Linked DNA regions of Drosophila melanogaster. The protein of the gene in region 3 interacts with the protein of the main gene of each other region in a pairwise test. Each region holds a gene or a part of one and is shown on either strand. Other genes may lie near its edges.

The links.
Region 1: the proteins of wor (region 3) and CkIIalpha-i1 interact in a two-hybrid assay, tested with the Drosophila melanogaster proteins (one large-scale study listed by BioGRID).
Region 2: the proteins of wor (region 3) and Ephrin interact in a two-hybrid assay, tested with the Drosophila melanogaster proteins (one large-scale study listed by BioGRID).

Annotation. Positions count from the first base shown.
Region 1 is NT_037436.4:15,814,594-15,819,758, reverse strand, and holds CkIIalpha-i1 (CKII-alpha subunit interactor-1), read right to left. Parts: upstream 2,781-5,165; 5' UTR 2,712-2,780; coding exon 2,586-2,711; intron 2,528-2,585; coding exon 1,421-2,527; 3' UTR 1,138-1,420; downstream 1-1,137. Other genes in the region: fwe (flower), read left to right, coding at 3,483-3,485, 3,703-3,823.
Region 2 is NC_004353.4:569,370-575,088, forward strand, and holds the start of Ephrin (ephrin), read left to right. Parts: upstream 1-2,385; 5' UTR 2,386-2,802; intron 2,803-4,243; 5' UTR 4,244-4,379; coding exon 4,380-5,059; intron 5,060-5,719. Other genes in the region: ND-49 (NADH dehydrogenase (ubiquinone) 49 kDa subunit), read right to left, coding at 606-807, 865-974, 1,040-1,164, 1,235-1,326.
Region 3 is NT_033779.5:15,422,092-15,427,689, forward strand, and holds wor (worniu), read right to left. Parts: upstream 3,490-5,598; 5' UTR 3,340-3,489; coding exon 3,252-3,339; intron 3,190-3,251; coding exon 1,631-3,189; 3' UTR 1,206-1,630; downstream 1-1,205.

The DNA.
Region 1 (5,165 bases), on a different chromosome or scaffold from region 3:
TTTGCATTTGCTTTAAATCTTTTACCATTGACTTTTAAAGCTTTTTGAAAAGCCATATTAACTTTTATTTTATATGTTTACTTAATGAGCTGCAAATCTGTTTTAAACACTTCTCTCCTTATTTGGATTTGGATTATACTTCATTTTTATTAAAAGCCTATAGTTTAAAGTTTTATTTTTTTGGAAACACTCAAGATCCGTTTCCAGCCTCAGACAAATGCCCAATGAAATTGATAATCTTGTCTTTCTATCCTAATTTAATGCCTTCTTTCTTCTCAATACCAAAACGAACTTAACTTCTTTGGTCATTTGTCTGGGCCAAGTGACAAACAACATCAAACTTATCATCCATCAAGCAATGAATATCAAACTACAAGAACAGCGTTGTTTACACAGCTTGAAAATTTCAACAAACCCAAGAATAAAATATTGTAACATTTTGTTGTAAACGAAGAAAGAAACTCAAAAGTGCAACAATTTAAATATGAACCCAAAACAGAAAAAAAAACGACTCTTCATTTGATGAACTGCAATCCCATTACAATTTTACCAATCCAGAGACACACATTATATTTTACTTTCATTTTTTGAAGAACCATAGACATAGCATTAATTAACTTTAGTAAAGGGCTCCTGGAACAACAACCGACCACATTAAGTCTAAGTGAATGTTGGATGCGTGAGGACTTGCGCTATATTGAAATCTTGCCAACACCTGAAAGTCAGAACCGCCCGACGATTGGAGTGATCCGAGTACTGGCTCCAAGCTAAATTTGCTATGCATTTTAACCATTGTATCGAACATAGACAAACCAAAAAAAAAAAAAAACAAATCTGTAAACACGTCCAAAACAAAAGCGAGGACGTGGATGCACAAGAATAGATTTCCTGAAAATAAAGTGGAAAGTAATCCAGATTCTTTGGTTGAGCAATTCTATTCTAGTGTAAGCACCTCCTTCAAAATCATACGATATCAAAAATACAATTTGTAGAATTTAATGCCAAAACAAGCAAATACAAAATCCAAGTTAACTCTTCAATCAAGAACAATTGTAACGTAAAAAGATTATAAAATAACTTATTTGTGGCAATATATATTTCCAACGTTTTCCCCCCAAAAATTTCCGGCAATAAATTGATGTACCAAGTTTTAAAACTGATTGTTTATTTCTATTGGGTTTAAAAACACTTCATCTCAACGTTTATCCACGAAGAGAAATTATAAAACGGAAGTATGTTTTATCCGCCTTTTTTCACAATTGTAAAGAATACAACGCGGGGGTAAATTTCTTAATAACAAAAAAGTTATACTAAAATTGGCTATCTAAGAATTAATAATATACACACAGTAGTGGAAATATTAATTTATACAATTTAATCAGTTTTCAAGATTACCATTATTTGCTAGCCTAGTTGGTAACTAAGGTCTTGAATTGTCCGAAAGATTGATGTATTTTCCCTTCTGCAGGGAAATTTTCTTGGGCAGGCTGATGAACTCTCCTCCGTTGGTACATTTCGTCGGGGATTCCGGGAAATCTGCCTTAGCGTAAAAGCTTTTCTTGCGGTATGGCAACTTTCGGCGATCGGGTTCAACCCGTTTCATGGGGTCCAGCGTCATAAACTTGCCCTCCAGAAGACGTCGTTCCTGTTGGGTAGACGGCACTTTGCTTTTGAATCCAGAAAAGAGGCCGTGGGAACTCATGTGCGACATTAAGCGCGCCCACACTCGATAACTTGAGGTGCAGTCCTTATATGGGCACTCATAAAATCGCTGCTGCGTGAATTTGACTTTATGGCTCCTCGTGTGCCTCCTGTAGGATCCTTGGTTAGCGAAGGACATGTTGCACTCCACGCAGATGAAATCGGATACATTGTGAACGCTGTTCTCGTGGCGGATAACGTCGAAATAGCGTGGGAATATCTGGTTGCATCTGAGGCACAGAAATTCCAAATCCTTTGCGCCGCACATGGTCTTGTTGTGTTTCATCGTCTTCATGTGCTCATGTAGTTCGTGTAGTTTGTGGAACTCTGAACCACAATCGCGGCAATAGTAGACCGGATTCGGGCGGGGTTTACAAGAATGCATGCGTATGTGGGTCAGGATTTCGAGCACATGGCCGCAACAGGTGCACAGCATCCGAGTGGCTTGGGTCTTGTCCTTGAAGAACTTGGTGACTGCCAAGCCATCGCGTGACAATCCCACGCTGAAGAAATCCACGGACGCGGTTTTCAAAGATTCTTCGACTACGATCTCCATATGCTCGTTTTTTTCCAATGGATCTTCCTTCACTGGCTCCGCGATATGCTGATCGAAAGAATTCTCCTCATCATTCTTTTCCGTTTCTACCTCTTCTTTGTTTGATGTCACCTCCAACTTGATCTGAAATGCAGTGGAGTCGTCTATTTCGATGGGCCTCCGGTGAAACTCGTCCTGGGCCGTGCCCCACTTCTCCAGGGATTCGCTTATGCGCAAAGTCTCTCCAAAGCAGGGCTCGCAAATGCAGTAATTTTCCCCCAGGATAGCAGCCTAAAATACGTGGGTTTCTTTGCATTTGACATCCATTGGACTCACTTTCAGAACTTACATCAATTTTGTACCAATCGAAAAGTCTTTGCAGCAGTTTATTGGCCGATTTGAATTTGGGCTTCTCGAGATCGATCTCAATTGCTCGGTTATCCTTGCATAGTTTGCAAATTTCCGCTTCTGTCATTTTGCTGATATTTTCGAGGAGGTCCAAAAACCAAGTTAATAAAAGGCAAGTAATCAATGATTTCTTCGATGTCTGCTAATCGATACTATCGATAGATGTTTAATTTATCGATACAATGCAGAGCTGCTTAATGTCGATAGGCAATTGAATTAATCGATTTTTAATTTACGGACTTAGAAATTTATGCAAATCTAAAAATAAATTAATTTTGATTGATTTGAATAGAGATAGTTGTTCAGATTTAGGAGTTAGGTGAACGATCTGAGATCGAAGTGAATTTTCTAAAGATGCCGCCTGCATATTGAACGGTATAAAAGCTTTCAATGTACACAAATTTGCCTAACATTTGCTAAGAGAACCGGAAAATATTGTTTAATATCATAATCGAACAAAAACCAATTTACAAGTTTAGACTGTAGTTTTTTCATTACCTAAAAAAGTATTTGTGTAATTATTTGAATGTTCGAAACCCAAAACAAGAAAATACAAATAATTATGAAAAAAGTAAGAAGTTGACTAATTGCAATATAAATTTAAAAATTAAAAAATGTTGTAGTGAATCCAGGATACCAGGAAACTAGTTCCATTCGCCTCCGATAACTTCCGAGTATCGATAGGCTCTATCGGCCATCAGAATCGCGATCTAGTTCGGTTCGCGTGCAGCAGAACGCAAAGTACAACAGGATTTTTTTCGTTCCGTGTGACGTGAAAAGTGCAAATAGTAATTGTTCGAATTAGTTTAAGCCTAGCTAACTAACTAAATAAATAGCCATGGTAGGTAGTTGTTGATTGACTGAGATAAAATGCTGACGCAGTGAGCGGTGTCAGTGTGTATGCATGTGAGCCGCGCGTTAACTGGTGTGTGTGTTTTTGTCGTGGCAATGTGTGCGTGTTAAAAAAAGCGGCCGCCGCGTCACAATACAAAATTGTGCTTCGATTTTTCCTAATTGCATTTCGATTTCTCCCTATTTCCGTCTATTTCCCGGATCAGTCGTTTGCGGAAAAGATAACGGGTCTGCTGGCACGGCCGAATCAACAAGATCCAATTGGACCGGAGCAGCCGTGGTATCTCAAATATGGAAGTCGATTGCTGGGCATTGTGGCCGCCTTCTGTAAGTTGTAGGATATATAATAAATTATCTACTAGCTTAACACATTAAAAAGTTGGGAAAAACATCCGTGACATTGGGCGGCCCAAAAATATGTTGCATCGATTTTTGTGTACCACCCTTTGTTGTTGTTGCTGTTATCTATTCGTAGGTGTAGGTGTGCAGTTGTGTTCGTGTGTGTACGCACGCTCTCTGACATTGATAAAGGAAAAACAAGAGAGGGTGAGTGAGAGGTGAGAGGCAGTGAGAGCGGAGAAAGGAAACATGGAAAAGACAACACAAAAAGGATACACAAATTCACACACTGAAAAAAATACTAGTTATGTATGTAGCTAAAGTTTATTTTTACATCAAAATCAAAGAAATGTAGGGTAAAGTGTGAGATTTCCAAATGAATTAAGAATGAAACGTATAATTTTAAGGTAAAACAAAGTCCAAAAAAGGTTTTTTTTTGTTTTGTTATTGAAATATAAAATAATACATTCACCCACTTAACTAAGTGGGCTTCCTGCACTTAATATCTCTTATCTAACCATTTCGTTTGATAACTTTTTATTTCGTGTGTAGGAAATTGCAAGTATGTATAGGAGCTTTTCTGTGTCAAGTTTGGCGCTCTGCTTTTTCTTTCCGCATCGAATGTAATTCTCTGTGCCCATTCAATCGAAATTCGCACTGCCTTTTGTTGTATCAGCAGCTTCCCTCTTTCCATCTCTATTTTTAACTTTGTTTTACCCGTTTGCGTATTTGCTTTTTTATCTGGACTCAGTTAACCTTAACCCTTAGGCTGCCACACGTGTTATAAGTGCAATATCGTAATAAGTCTATGCGTATCTTAAATTCAATTGGGGCATCTTTTTTGTAATTTCATCATCACCTTCTGAATGCATAAAAAAATGCAGTTCAATAAACTTTTAAGTAGTCGTGATCTACTTTGATTAAGTCCAAGTCAATCTTTTTAATCGCAGTTGGGGTTTTGATTATGCTATTGGGTTTCGTGTCGTTAGAATACTTACAAAAATTATTTTAAAAATCAATCTAAACCATACATATGTATATAAATGAAAATTCCACAGAAACAATATGCCTCATTGACATATTATTCCTGGAATTTTTAGAGATCAACCAAAGGAATATTTATTTATTCAAAACGTTTTTAACATCTTTTTTTTCTCTGTACAAAAGCATCTTTTGTTGTTGGATATTCTGGCAATGATTCTCACTTAGTGAAATGCAGAAATTGCCCAACAAATGAACACCATCCACTTAAAATCAATATAAATAGCTGAATACCTCAATTAAGGGATCACAACTCACTCGTCCGGCTTCCACAATGAACCGGTTTTGT
Region 2 (5,719 bases), on a different chromosome or scaffold from region 3:
GTGACAAAAAGTTATTTTTTTCGATCAATTTATATTTGGCTGGCTAAAATTCTTCAAGCGGTCCGACGATCATTAATTCGATAAGACCGTAAATTCATACCGTCCTACCAATGAGCGCTGCAAGTCAGTTTTCCCAGAAAAGAATATAATTTATAGTCTCTTCTAATTATCTTTTATATTACCCTGATATCTTGGCTCATTTTTCAAGCTTCGAAATATGTATGTTACATGGTTTGAGCAAGGACACTAGAATTATTCTAGTGTCTTTGGTTTGAGAGACAAGAACTACACGAACCATTGGTTTTAATATATTTTTGTACAAGAAAAACAATTTTCAGTGCCAAAAATAGTGGGTACTTTTTCATCTCACTTTAAATTTTAGATTAAAATAATTTTAATAATCAAACCCAAATTTAAAATATTTTTTTTTTGGTAATCAAAAATTAAATAGAACTTTTAAAAAGATTTTGTTGCGTAAGATTTATGGCGATGGTGACAATGCTAAATTATAATATATATATACATATATTAAAAAAGCGAAACTATTGAAATCTTCTTAATGACTACAAAGTCAAGAGCAAGAGAAAATTACTTTGTATTCTTACTTCGAATGTACTTAGCACGGAGAGGCACATCAATATTAAGGAGTTTTTCTACAGCCAGAGAGTAGCATTGCTCGTTGCACATCATCGAGACGTAGTCCAGCCGGTCAAAATACGGCAATGCCTGGGTGTATGTCTTGTACTCTATGAGCTTTTCGGTCCCACGGTGCAGCAGCCCAATATGCGGATCGGCACGCATAACGGTCTGCAATAACAGAGGTTTTAATTTACACAAGACCTGTGGTCGATTAACAGCTTAAACCTCTCCATCCAGCTCCAGCACAAGACGAAGGACTCCGTGGGCGGCGGGATGTTGTGGGCCGAAGTTCAAGGTCAGATTACGCACCGACTTTTCGACAGGCGTTACTTTGCCTAGTAGAGGAGGTAAGTCAAGCGATTAGTTCAAGGGTCAGTTTAATATTGGGTTACCAACTAACTGTTCCATGGTGGCACTGTCCAAAGTGATGTGACCTCGTCTGGATACATCACCGGGCCGCTAAACTGCTTCATGAACTCAGGGTCTGGATACCACTTGGCTGCTCCCCGTCGCGTCTCCTGAGAACTAAACAACGAGTTTCCAATTGGACAAATATAAATGATATATTCGAATTATGTAAGCATTTACTATTTACGTTAACGCGGCCGATCCAGCTGCAACAAGTTGTGGCCGCAGCCTCAAGTGTGAAAGTCCAGGAATCAACGTTCTTCTCATTATATTGGCCATCCTGATAGTCAAATTCCTCTATTTATGTTTCTTTAGTAACAATTCAGGAATCTAATACAACCAAATAGTTATCCGCAATCGGAATTCTATCCAAAAAATATCGAAAATTACTTTAAACACCGAATCTCGTACAGCTTATATACTATTTACACCAATAATATATCGCAGGTTGTTGCTTCATGAAAATGAAGTGCAAAACACATAAATTCCCTTATATATATTACACACTTTGTCATCCTGCTCGTTTACCCAAGTTTTTATTTATCTTTATATAATGTTATAAACAATAATTGCAATTAATTTTTCGAAGACCTGAATTTTACATCATCCCAATGAAGCGAATTTTGCGTTAATGGAGCACTATAAAAATATAATTACTAGAGATAATAATGATAGCTTCTGCAAGGCTAAACTTATATATCTTAGCAGTATCTCAGCAGAGCGAATGTGGACATTTAATGACTAAAAACAACGAAACTATTTAAATTCTTTAATTAACAATTGATTTCTGGACTTTTCGTCCGATGACTAAACTTAAGAAAACAAAATTATGAAAACTCTTTTAACTTGAACAAAAATTTTATGCAGTCAAGAACCGGTGCTAAGAGATAGTAACGTAAAAACGGATGATCGGACAGACGGTAGTGCTGACTCGGCTCTTGATACTGACCATATATATATTTACTTCAAATTCTTAACTCTTTCACTGGGTTTCAAACTTCTTACACCAATCAAAATAGGTTCGACACGGGTAATAGATAAATTTTAATAATTATAAAATTATTCTTAAAACATAAAATAGTGCTTAAGCCTAGCTAAAAAATTTACTAGGAACTTACATAATGGTTCTGCTACAACAAATGTCAAATAAAATCTTTATAAGACAGTTTCCTATCAATATGGTATGGTTTTTACTGTGAATATTACTTATAGTAGAAATTCGCATATGTTAAATTCAAAAAAAAAAAAAAAAACCAAACCATTTGACTTATATTATAAGATTATACGGGCCTTTGGAAAAAAATCGCTATCGATTGATTTGTAAAATTATCGATGCCCTTAAGTTTCTTTATACATCGAAAGTTAAAGTAAACATCGTTTTTTGTTCCAGCTCTAAACAAGTTTTTTTTATAGCTCTAGCTCTACAGTATTTATATAAATAATTCTTGTATGTAGTCCAAGTGTAGAAAAAACTAATTTAAATGAGCTGTTTTCGAGTATTTCTCTTCAGACAAAAACCTGTTTGGAACAATTTTTAATCATGTGAAAATGTAATTTTGAAAAAGATGTACCAAAAAAGGAAGACGGTGTTATGGGCATATATGTATATTTTGTGTTTTTATATGTCAACTATGTTATACCAACATATTTGTACCGGATTGTTAATCGTATCGAATAAGAATGTTTCCCCGAGAGTAAGATGTTTGTGTATATATAGAGTTTCTTCTGTCTCCTCGGAGAGTGTGTCGTCACTGTGTATGTATACAGAAATGTCTTTTGGTGTATACATACATATGTAATTGTATAATGCTGTTGGGATGTTTTATCACTTAAACATACAATTTTTAAGAAATATATTGATTGTTCCGTTATAAATTGAATGTCAAGAACTGCAGATCCGCTATATATTGTTGATCTTATGCCATGTTGATTGTTTATGACTATGAATGTTAAAAAATATATTAATATTTCGCCAAGCCATTACCAACCCTGTTTGTATAGAAAATGTACCATACATGTATTAAAATGTAGTATCCCACTTAAATTGATAATTGGTTTGCCGGCCTGTTAAATAAGTATTTTTGATCAATCAGGGTCGAATCAAATCAATTAGGCGGTTTCCAAAGTTAAAGCGAAGTACTTTTAAAAATCTCGTAATCTGTCAGGTGGCGGTAGTCAACATATAAATATTGTTGATCAGCATTAACAGCTGCTTATTTCGCCGACTGCCGCCGAACGCGGCGCAAACAGGATCCCTCAGTCTTAGGCTGTTTGTTTTAAAGATCAACTTGTATAAACTTTACATAAAAATATAAATACGCATAATATGCTACTGTTACATTAAAATGTTAACGCGTAATGATCTCAAAGCTTAGAATGAGTAGATATAATATGTAGTTAGATTTTGCAATGGGTAAACTAATTTCAGTCAGGATTGTCAACGAAGTAAAGGAGGAAATGTCAATAGAAGAACACATATTCTTGATCAGTTTACACAGCCATGTCGATATATTTTTTGTCTTTCTTTCCGTTTGCCAAACGACCTTCGAATTGAAGGTTGAAATCCTTTTATTTTGTAGTTCATATACATATACGGGTCGAAAAAGAATGCCGTTAAAGTATTGTTTCTTTTTTAACTGCCTAGTAAACTTTTTGACGAGATAAATTGAAAAGTATAATTCCGCTCTAAAAAAGTCGGGTTAAATTTTCTAAGAACCCTAGGTATTATATCAATTTCATTTTCAGTATCAAAATTTAATCTTGAAGAGGTGAAAACTAAGTCTACGTTAAAAAGAATACTAGACCTAAATCACAGATGAAAAAGAAACAATAATTTAACGGCCTTTTCAATTTAATTTTTTCGGATTGTTCCTATATATGCATATATATTTATATAGTGATATATATGCACAAAAGTTGTATTATTTAACTATTGTCATCAAAAATTAAATTGCACCTGACTTTATAACGCACTACATATAATTTACTCATTTATAAGAAATCTTTTAAAGGGTAAAGTAAACAACCAAACCGCATAGTAGTCTTTAGTCTGTTGGTGCGCTTCGTAACTATACCGTCCAAAGTGAGAAAATCATGTTACAAGTTACACTGCAGTTTCAGTGTTTTTTTTTTATGCCCAGAATTCGTACACGGCTACAGCGTTTTGTTGTAAAAATTGTTATTTTATTGATTGCAGATGGAGCAAGACACTTTGGTGCGGAATGACACAGATGTAGATGTAGCCAGTCAACATATTCTTATTTCGGAGGTTTATTGTATGCATTTAGCAAGAAAGCTACTAACGATCTAACATCGAAAACATTGCTGGCGGTATGCAAGAACGATCAAAGCAACTGCGTCTTACTGTTTCCTGGACCCAGTCAAAGTCTCAGATTCATGACAGTTGTCAACGTCGGAGCATGTTGGCATGTAAGAGGCGCTTAACTACCAGTAAAGTGCTTGAAGACTCACATCCACCAGTAGCTTTCCCCAATTGCAAATCTCACCGGCATCAGCAACAAAAGGAGAAACATAAAGTTCAGCTATACTCTGGAAAACCTTTAAGCATTAAGCTGTACGTGCCAGGAAGTATTGAGAGTATCCCAAAAATTCGACATAAGGCGCTTACGACAACGAATAAACAGCAACCAGCTATGCATCGAAAGTCTAAGAGCAAAAGCAAGTTTCAAGGTTTTAACAATCTCAAGCCGCTTTATTCACCGAGTAAAAGACAACCACCCGAGAAGCATTCATCAGTACTGGTGGAAGCAGGGATAGAATCAAAGGCATCACGGCATTTTGTTGGTAAAAAGAGGATTAAGAACAGAAACTGTTTGTTATCTTCGCCTCAGCCATCGCCAATGAGATGCAAAATGATGATTCCATTTCCAAAGTTTGGTGCCACATCCTTTGTTACGTTGCTCACTTTAATTTGTATGGAAACTGTTTTGCTCTCCACCATGTCTAGTTGCGCCAAGACTTTTTACATGCATTGGAACACATCGAACAGTATGTAAGTACTCAAATATAGTGGTATACTTAAGCAGCGGTATTATAATTTTATTGAAGTTAAAAATTGTAGATTTTTATTTTTCTCTACAAATGTATTATGTTTTATTACAATTATTACAGTTTTTAAGTCAGTAGTATGAGGATTATTATTATTCGTTTAGGGGATTTGTTATTTCAAATAAAATTTTCTTTCCAATAATAAGACTGCTGGCCAATAATATATTGATAAATTAATCCCTAATGTCGCGTATAAACACGCTGGGCTTTTATAAACTTTCCCAGCAATTAGTAATGCACATGAGTCATTTTCGATAGAATAACTATTGTCATAATTTGTTGTGCAAGTGAGCAGACGATGATTAGGCGATCCCATTGATCCCTAAGGATCATGATTAGTAACTTTTTTGGTAATCGCATCAGGGCATATATGGCCTACTCATTTTGTCTGGTTTTCTCTTTCTCGATATAAACATATCCATATCATCTATACCATCCATATTGCAATGGGACATTAAGTTTGTTAGGATAATGTTACTTCCAAAATCGGACAACAAACCCCAAAAACAGAAGACAAATGCACGTTTTCGTAGCCAAGGCATTAAACAATAAAGTCTAGATCAGATAAAAACAACCCAATTTTCCATTTTCAAAATGTTAACTT
Region 3 (5,598 bases):
TATGACTTTCAAGTGGCAGCTCTATGGCGTGGTTTCCTAATAGACCAAAAAGCTACCGCTTGCCCAAGCCGAAATCGGAAGCAAGTGAAGGCAAAAACGTATCAGGGAATACCCTCACAATGGGCTAAAATAATTAAACAAATAGAAAAAAACAAGAAGACTTACACACAGATTTCAAGTCTTATAGGAAGATGATAGTTTCGCAATTTATGCTTACAAGAGCTGCTAAAACATAAAACATGTAAACTGACTTGGGTAATGAGAGATATAACACATATTCAGCGAATCGCATCTGATTTTGTAAGTCTCCAAGTTCTTGTAAGAGCAGACAGCTTATGAACAAAAAGTAAACTGGAAGTTGTGGAGCGTTAGAAACTGCGTGGACGGCTTTTATAATAATGCGAGTGAGTTGAGCGGCTTGCCTGAGATCCAGATGAGGATGCAGGGTGGGTGGGGTTCTTTTCGCTATATAAAGTAAGGTGCGGCTGGGCTGTAGAGCGGAAAAGCGGCGCAACTGAAAAACGCGTTTAATTGAGCTTACCTGCCTGCAACCTGGCTGCCCACTAGCGCCATCTAGCTGCGTGCGGCTGCACCAAAAGCCGGCTTTGTTGATTTTTTCAGTTTGCCACGAACAGAAGAAAAAAAAAAACCGAAAACAAAATCGATGATTCATCGCTTGGTTTGTTGTTTTGAGTGGATTTCGCCAACTGCAGCAGGCCCACAAAAATACTAGACTGTTGGCGCTTGCCGCCTGCTGCTGTTGTTGATGTTGCTAGTTGCAGTGTTGCTGGTTGACGGTGACGCAGTCGCAGTTGCAGTTGCAATTGCAGCTGCGCCAATTCTCCTCTGGTTTGCCGTTTGCATTTCGGCGCTTTACGTTCAAAACAATTATTATTCTGGCAATTAATTTTGATTTAAGCAGCGATTTTCAATACATTTCTATACATACATATAAACGGCTTCATATGTATAGACTGCTTTCCTAGCTCTTTGTAACCCCCCATCGAGTCTCCCTGACGGTTGAATGTCTCGATTTCTGTGGATTTTCATTTCGAGTGCAGCGATAAATAAACGACACCTACAATGCATATCCGAGATGGCATCTTTTAGATTGCGATGCGATTCGAACCGTTCGTCCGATAGGTAAAGTAATAGAATGAGGGAAATTAATTTGTTTACCTCAACTCAAAAAAACTAAATGTGTTGGTGGTTTCTGTTTTCTTGTGTTTTATTTATTTAAAAAAATTAAAATTAAATACATGCAAGTAAATGGCTACCTTCACCATATTTACAAGGCTTAAATCATAATGTTTAAGGTAAAATAAATTATAAGATTAAATTATAAGTTGGTAGGTATGTCGTATGAATTGGGGCTTAATTATCTGGCACCTTTTTGATTTGTACACGAATGAGTTTTAACAACGAACTATAATACAAGGAATTGTCAACGAAAACAATCTAATGCTAAGCTCTCAACTGCGATATGAGTTTTGGAATAATTTAGCGATAACTCTAAATAAATATTTCTGATAAACTAGAGACCCTAAGAGGCAATAAAATTGCCCTGACTAATTTTTGGCACTGACTTTTCCCTGAATCTGACTTCTGACTTTGGCTAAACTGACTAAGATTAATAAATGGCCGGTGGTTGCATTTGGTATTCCCCGCCCTCCTCCTCTTCACCATTACTGCTGCCCACACTGCCGGCGTAGTAGAGTTGGTGTGGATTGTGTCCCTCCTCGTAGACCTGGAGGTGCTGCTGTAGCTGCTGCTGATCAAAGCCCCCTCCTGACCCACTGGGACCTCCACTCTGCTCAGTCTGGCAACCGCTTTGCAGGTGCTTGGCCAGCAGGGACATACGCGAGAAGGACTTGGTGCAGGTGGGGCACGAGTACTTCTTCACATCCGAATGGGTTTGCATGTGCGCGCGGAGATTTGACCTATCCGCGAAGGCCCGATTGCAGTGTTGGCAACTGAAGGGCTTCTCTCCCGTGTGGGTGCGTATGTGACCCTGGAGGAGCCATGGTCGCGAAAACGCCTTGCCGCAGATGGGACACTTGCAGGGCAGGGTATGCGTGCGAATGTGCATCTTCAGGGCGCCCAAGGACACATAGGTCTTGTCGCAGTTCTTGCAGCTGAAGACCTTCTTCACCTGATTGCCCTCGGCCGACGGACAATGGAACTGCTGGTGCTTAGAGAGTCCCGAGTAGGTGGAGTAGCTCTTTCCGCAATCCTGGCAATGGTATCGCGGCACTCCCACTGGCTTTTGCATGCTCTGTGCTGAGGCTACATTAGCTGCCTGAATCAAAGCCGAAGCTTGATCCGTGCAAAACTCGGTTTGGTCGACTATCGCACCTGATCCTCCAGGCTGGCTTCTAATGATCTTGTACTCGGTGCTTTCGTAGGCGTGCGTTTGTTGATGCTTTACCAATCCTGCATAGGTGGCATAGCACTTGTTGCACTGCTGGCACTGGTAGTACAGATCATTGCTGCTCTTGATCTTCAGCTGGTTGATGTCCTGATTCTCCTGATCCTCTTCCATGTCTATCGGAGGCGGCGCATGTTGCGGAGCCATGTGTTGCATGCTCAGCAAAGCTCTGGCCACATTCTGCAGATTCATGTTTTCGCTCAGCACTCTCCTCTGGGTTACGGATAGGTCCTCCGGTTCGGCCAGTGGAGTCGGGGGTGGATAGAACAACTGGGGTGATGGAATCGGAGGTATCTCCTCTTTGATGTTCTGCATTTTCATACAGTCCTCATACTCGGCTATGCTTTTGAGTAGGTTGTTATTGTAGTTTCGCAGGGGAAATTGTTCCTCATCAGAGGGTTCAGCCTTGATGATGGTTGGGCTAGCATCTCTTGTATATCGAAGAGGCAGATGCTGTTCTGGTTCCGGCTCCGGCTCCATTACTTCCTCCTCAGGTGGCAACTCGAACTCGCCGTAACCCAGGCGAGCAAGACTCTTGGCGATTTCCTCCCGGGTGAAGACATCCGGAAAAGCGCGGGCTATCTCACGGGTTTCCTCCCAAATGCGACGGGCCAACTGCTCCTTGGTCTGATTCATGGCTGCATCGAAGCGGCGCCTCAATTCCGTGGGCACCGGCTGAGGTTCCGGTTCGGATTTAGCCATCCAATGGGGCTCCATAGGCACTGCAGCCGAGGCCACACTCAAGTCCACTGGTCCTTCATCTGTTGAAATCAGCATAAAGTTAAAATATGCCTGTAAATCACTTCCGTAGCCTTAAACCTACCATGACTTAGGTGATCCTCTGGGCTGGACTCCTCCACCATTATCGGACGCTTCTTGAGCGGGCAGCGGCTGTACTTGAGTTTATCCATGGTTGCTATGTTATTATTCCTTATGGTTACTGATCACTGATCTTCGATTTTGTATTTAATACCGATCCTTGAACTTAAATCACTGCTCACTCATTTGCTTTCGCCACACGCGTCTCGATCGCTTGGAGTTCCTTGCTCGAATGATGCAACCCGGCAAGGATCAGTCCGGTTTTATAGACTCCCGATCAACCCCCTGGCAGGATGATCAACCCCCTGGGCAAAAAGGATCTTGGCGTCTACCTACTTCCGATGTCGCCCGGGATTCTGTAAATCCACCCCGAACCACGAGCCAAAAGATCCATTCAGCGATCGAGCCACAGCTGTGCGTTCATTGAACGCAGATACAGCTGCAGATCGGGCAGTCCGGGGGTACCACTGCCATATAGAGAATCGTTGAGAGAGGGAGGGACCTGGAGACGAGAGGAACAAATCTGTGTGTAAAAAGCGAGCACGTGCCACAGGGACTCTCTCCGTTCCACTCGCCGATCGCCACCAGCTGCCTCTCTGGTTCAGCTCGTATTTCCCCTGAATTTCAATGGTATGAGTGAGCGGCAGCTGGTGGCGAGCTTGCTATTGCTATATACCCGATCAAGTTTATTTATAAGCCTCTTTCGGGTCCGCCTCACACGATCGCTTTGTATATAAGCCTAATGGACGTTTGCTCTTCGTGAGCAGGTGAGCATGCTCTTTGGAGCCCCACCAAGAGAAGTTTCGTACCCCACAATTTTCAACTCTCTTCGCTCTTTGGGGCGCTCTTGTTCCAACTGTCAGTCGTCCCACGAACTTAAGAGATAGCTTTCTGTGCTATTCGGAGGATAATTCAGCTGTGTTTTCTTAAGCTTCTTATTATGTTTACTATTCAAATTTTTCTGAGCTGAGCTTAAACGATCACATATTCGGCTGACTTTGCTGATCGGAGAGTGTGAAGATTTTTCAGGGGCTCGACTTAGGAAATTATGCCCAAATATTTAAATACCATAATAATTAAAACGTTCTCAATTAAAATCATTAAGATAGAAGATATTACAATAAAGGTACAGGAAAGTTGTTCTATTTTCTCTTTCAAAGCTTTTCATTTGTTGTATAAAATCGCACGCTGTTACAGAAGAAAAGAAGCACTTAGGATTCCAATTGATCCTTATCGGAGCGATCCTCTCCGGCTGGCAGCTGAGTAGGATCAGCACGTGACATTGGCTCCGCCATTAAATCGAGCCAAGCTACAATGCAATGTACCCACTTAGACGTCCACAAAAATATTAATCACCAGGACAAACAGCGCGCAGATCTAAGGTAAATCAACCTTTCCCAGAGTATTGTTCCGGTTCTCCGCCTCCTCGTGTATCGGTGCACTCGGCAGAAATAACCCCCTAACGGCCATGAAATTTCAATTCCCGATATTAAAGAATCCCGCCATCTGCCAGCGACCTCCAATCCACCCCAAAATGGGCATGTGCCCGGACAGTTACCTGGCTTTATTTTTCCGAACGGAGCTGAGTGCCTTGGAATGCGCCAAAAGAGAGAGGTTCGTGCAAATCTACCTGGCGCAGTGGTCCCACCCCAAAATCCACGGCATCACCAGACAACCTTCGTCGGAATAAAGCCGGTGATGGTGGTGGAATTGCAGTTTTGGACGTTACTTTCTAGCCAACCCCTCGTCGAGCGTCTTGCAAGGAGAGTCGCACCCCCCGATCATCATCTATTCCCACATCTGCCGACTGTGACACGTACCACAAGGAACTGATTTCGTCTTGGAACTGATTATTCCATGCCACGGGTATTTGGCGCCAAAATCCTGTAACGAACTCAGCTGGCCGGGATGTGTTGTGATCCTTGTAACAATAGGAAATGTTCTCTGATGGTACATTGAAAAGTGATTTTTGAATTATAATTAACTGGAATTGAGAAACTATTAATCGGTCTTTGATGCTTCGTTGGCTCATCTTTTATAATGAAATTTTAATTCAGGGTAAGCAAATTATGCCTTCAATACTCTAAGATCAAAAAATCTGATACTGATCTTTTATGAAGTGTTTAAGATTCAAAAAACCTTTAGAGATTGCCATAATTAGAGTGCTAAGTCTCCCGAGTTCTTTAATGTATATTTAAGCATTCTACAATATACAATAATATTCAACAAAAATATTCTGTTTCTGATCGGATTTTCTGCCAATAAAAAGATTTCACCAAGTATTAAATCAGAATTACTTTCTTTAAATACACCCTTAATTTTCTTATTTATAATACATTTCAAATATGTGC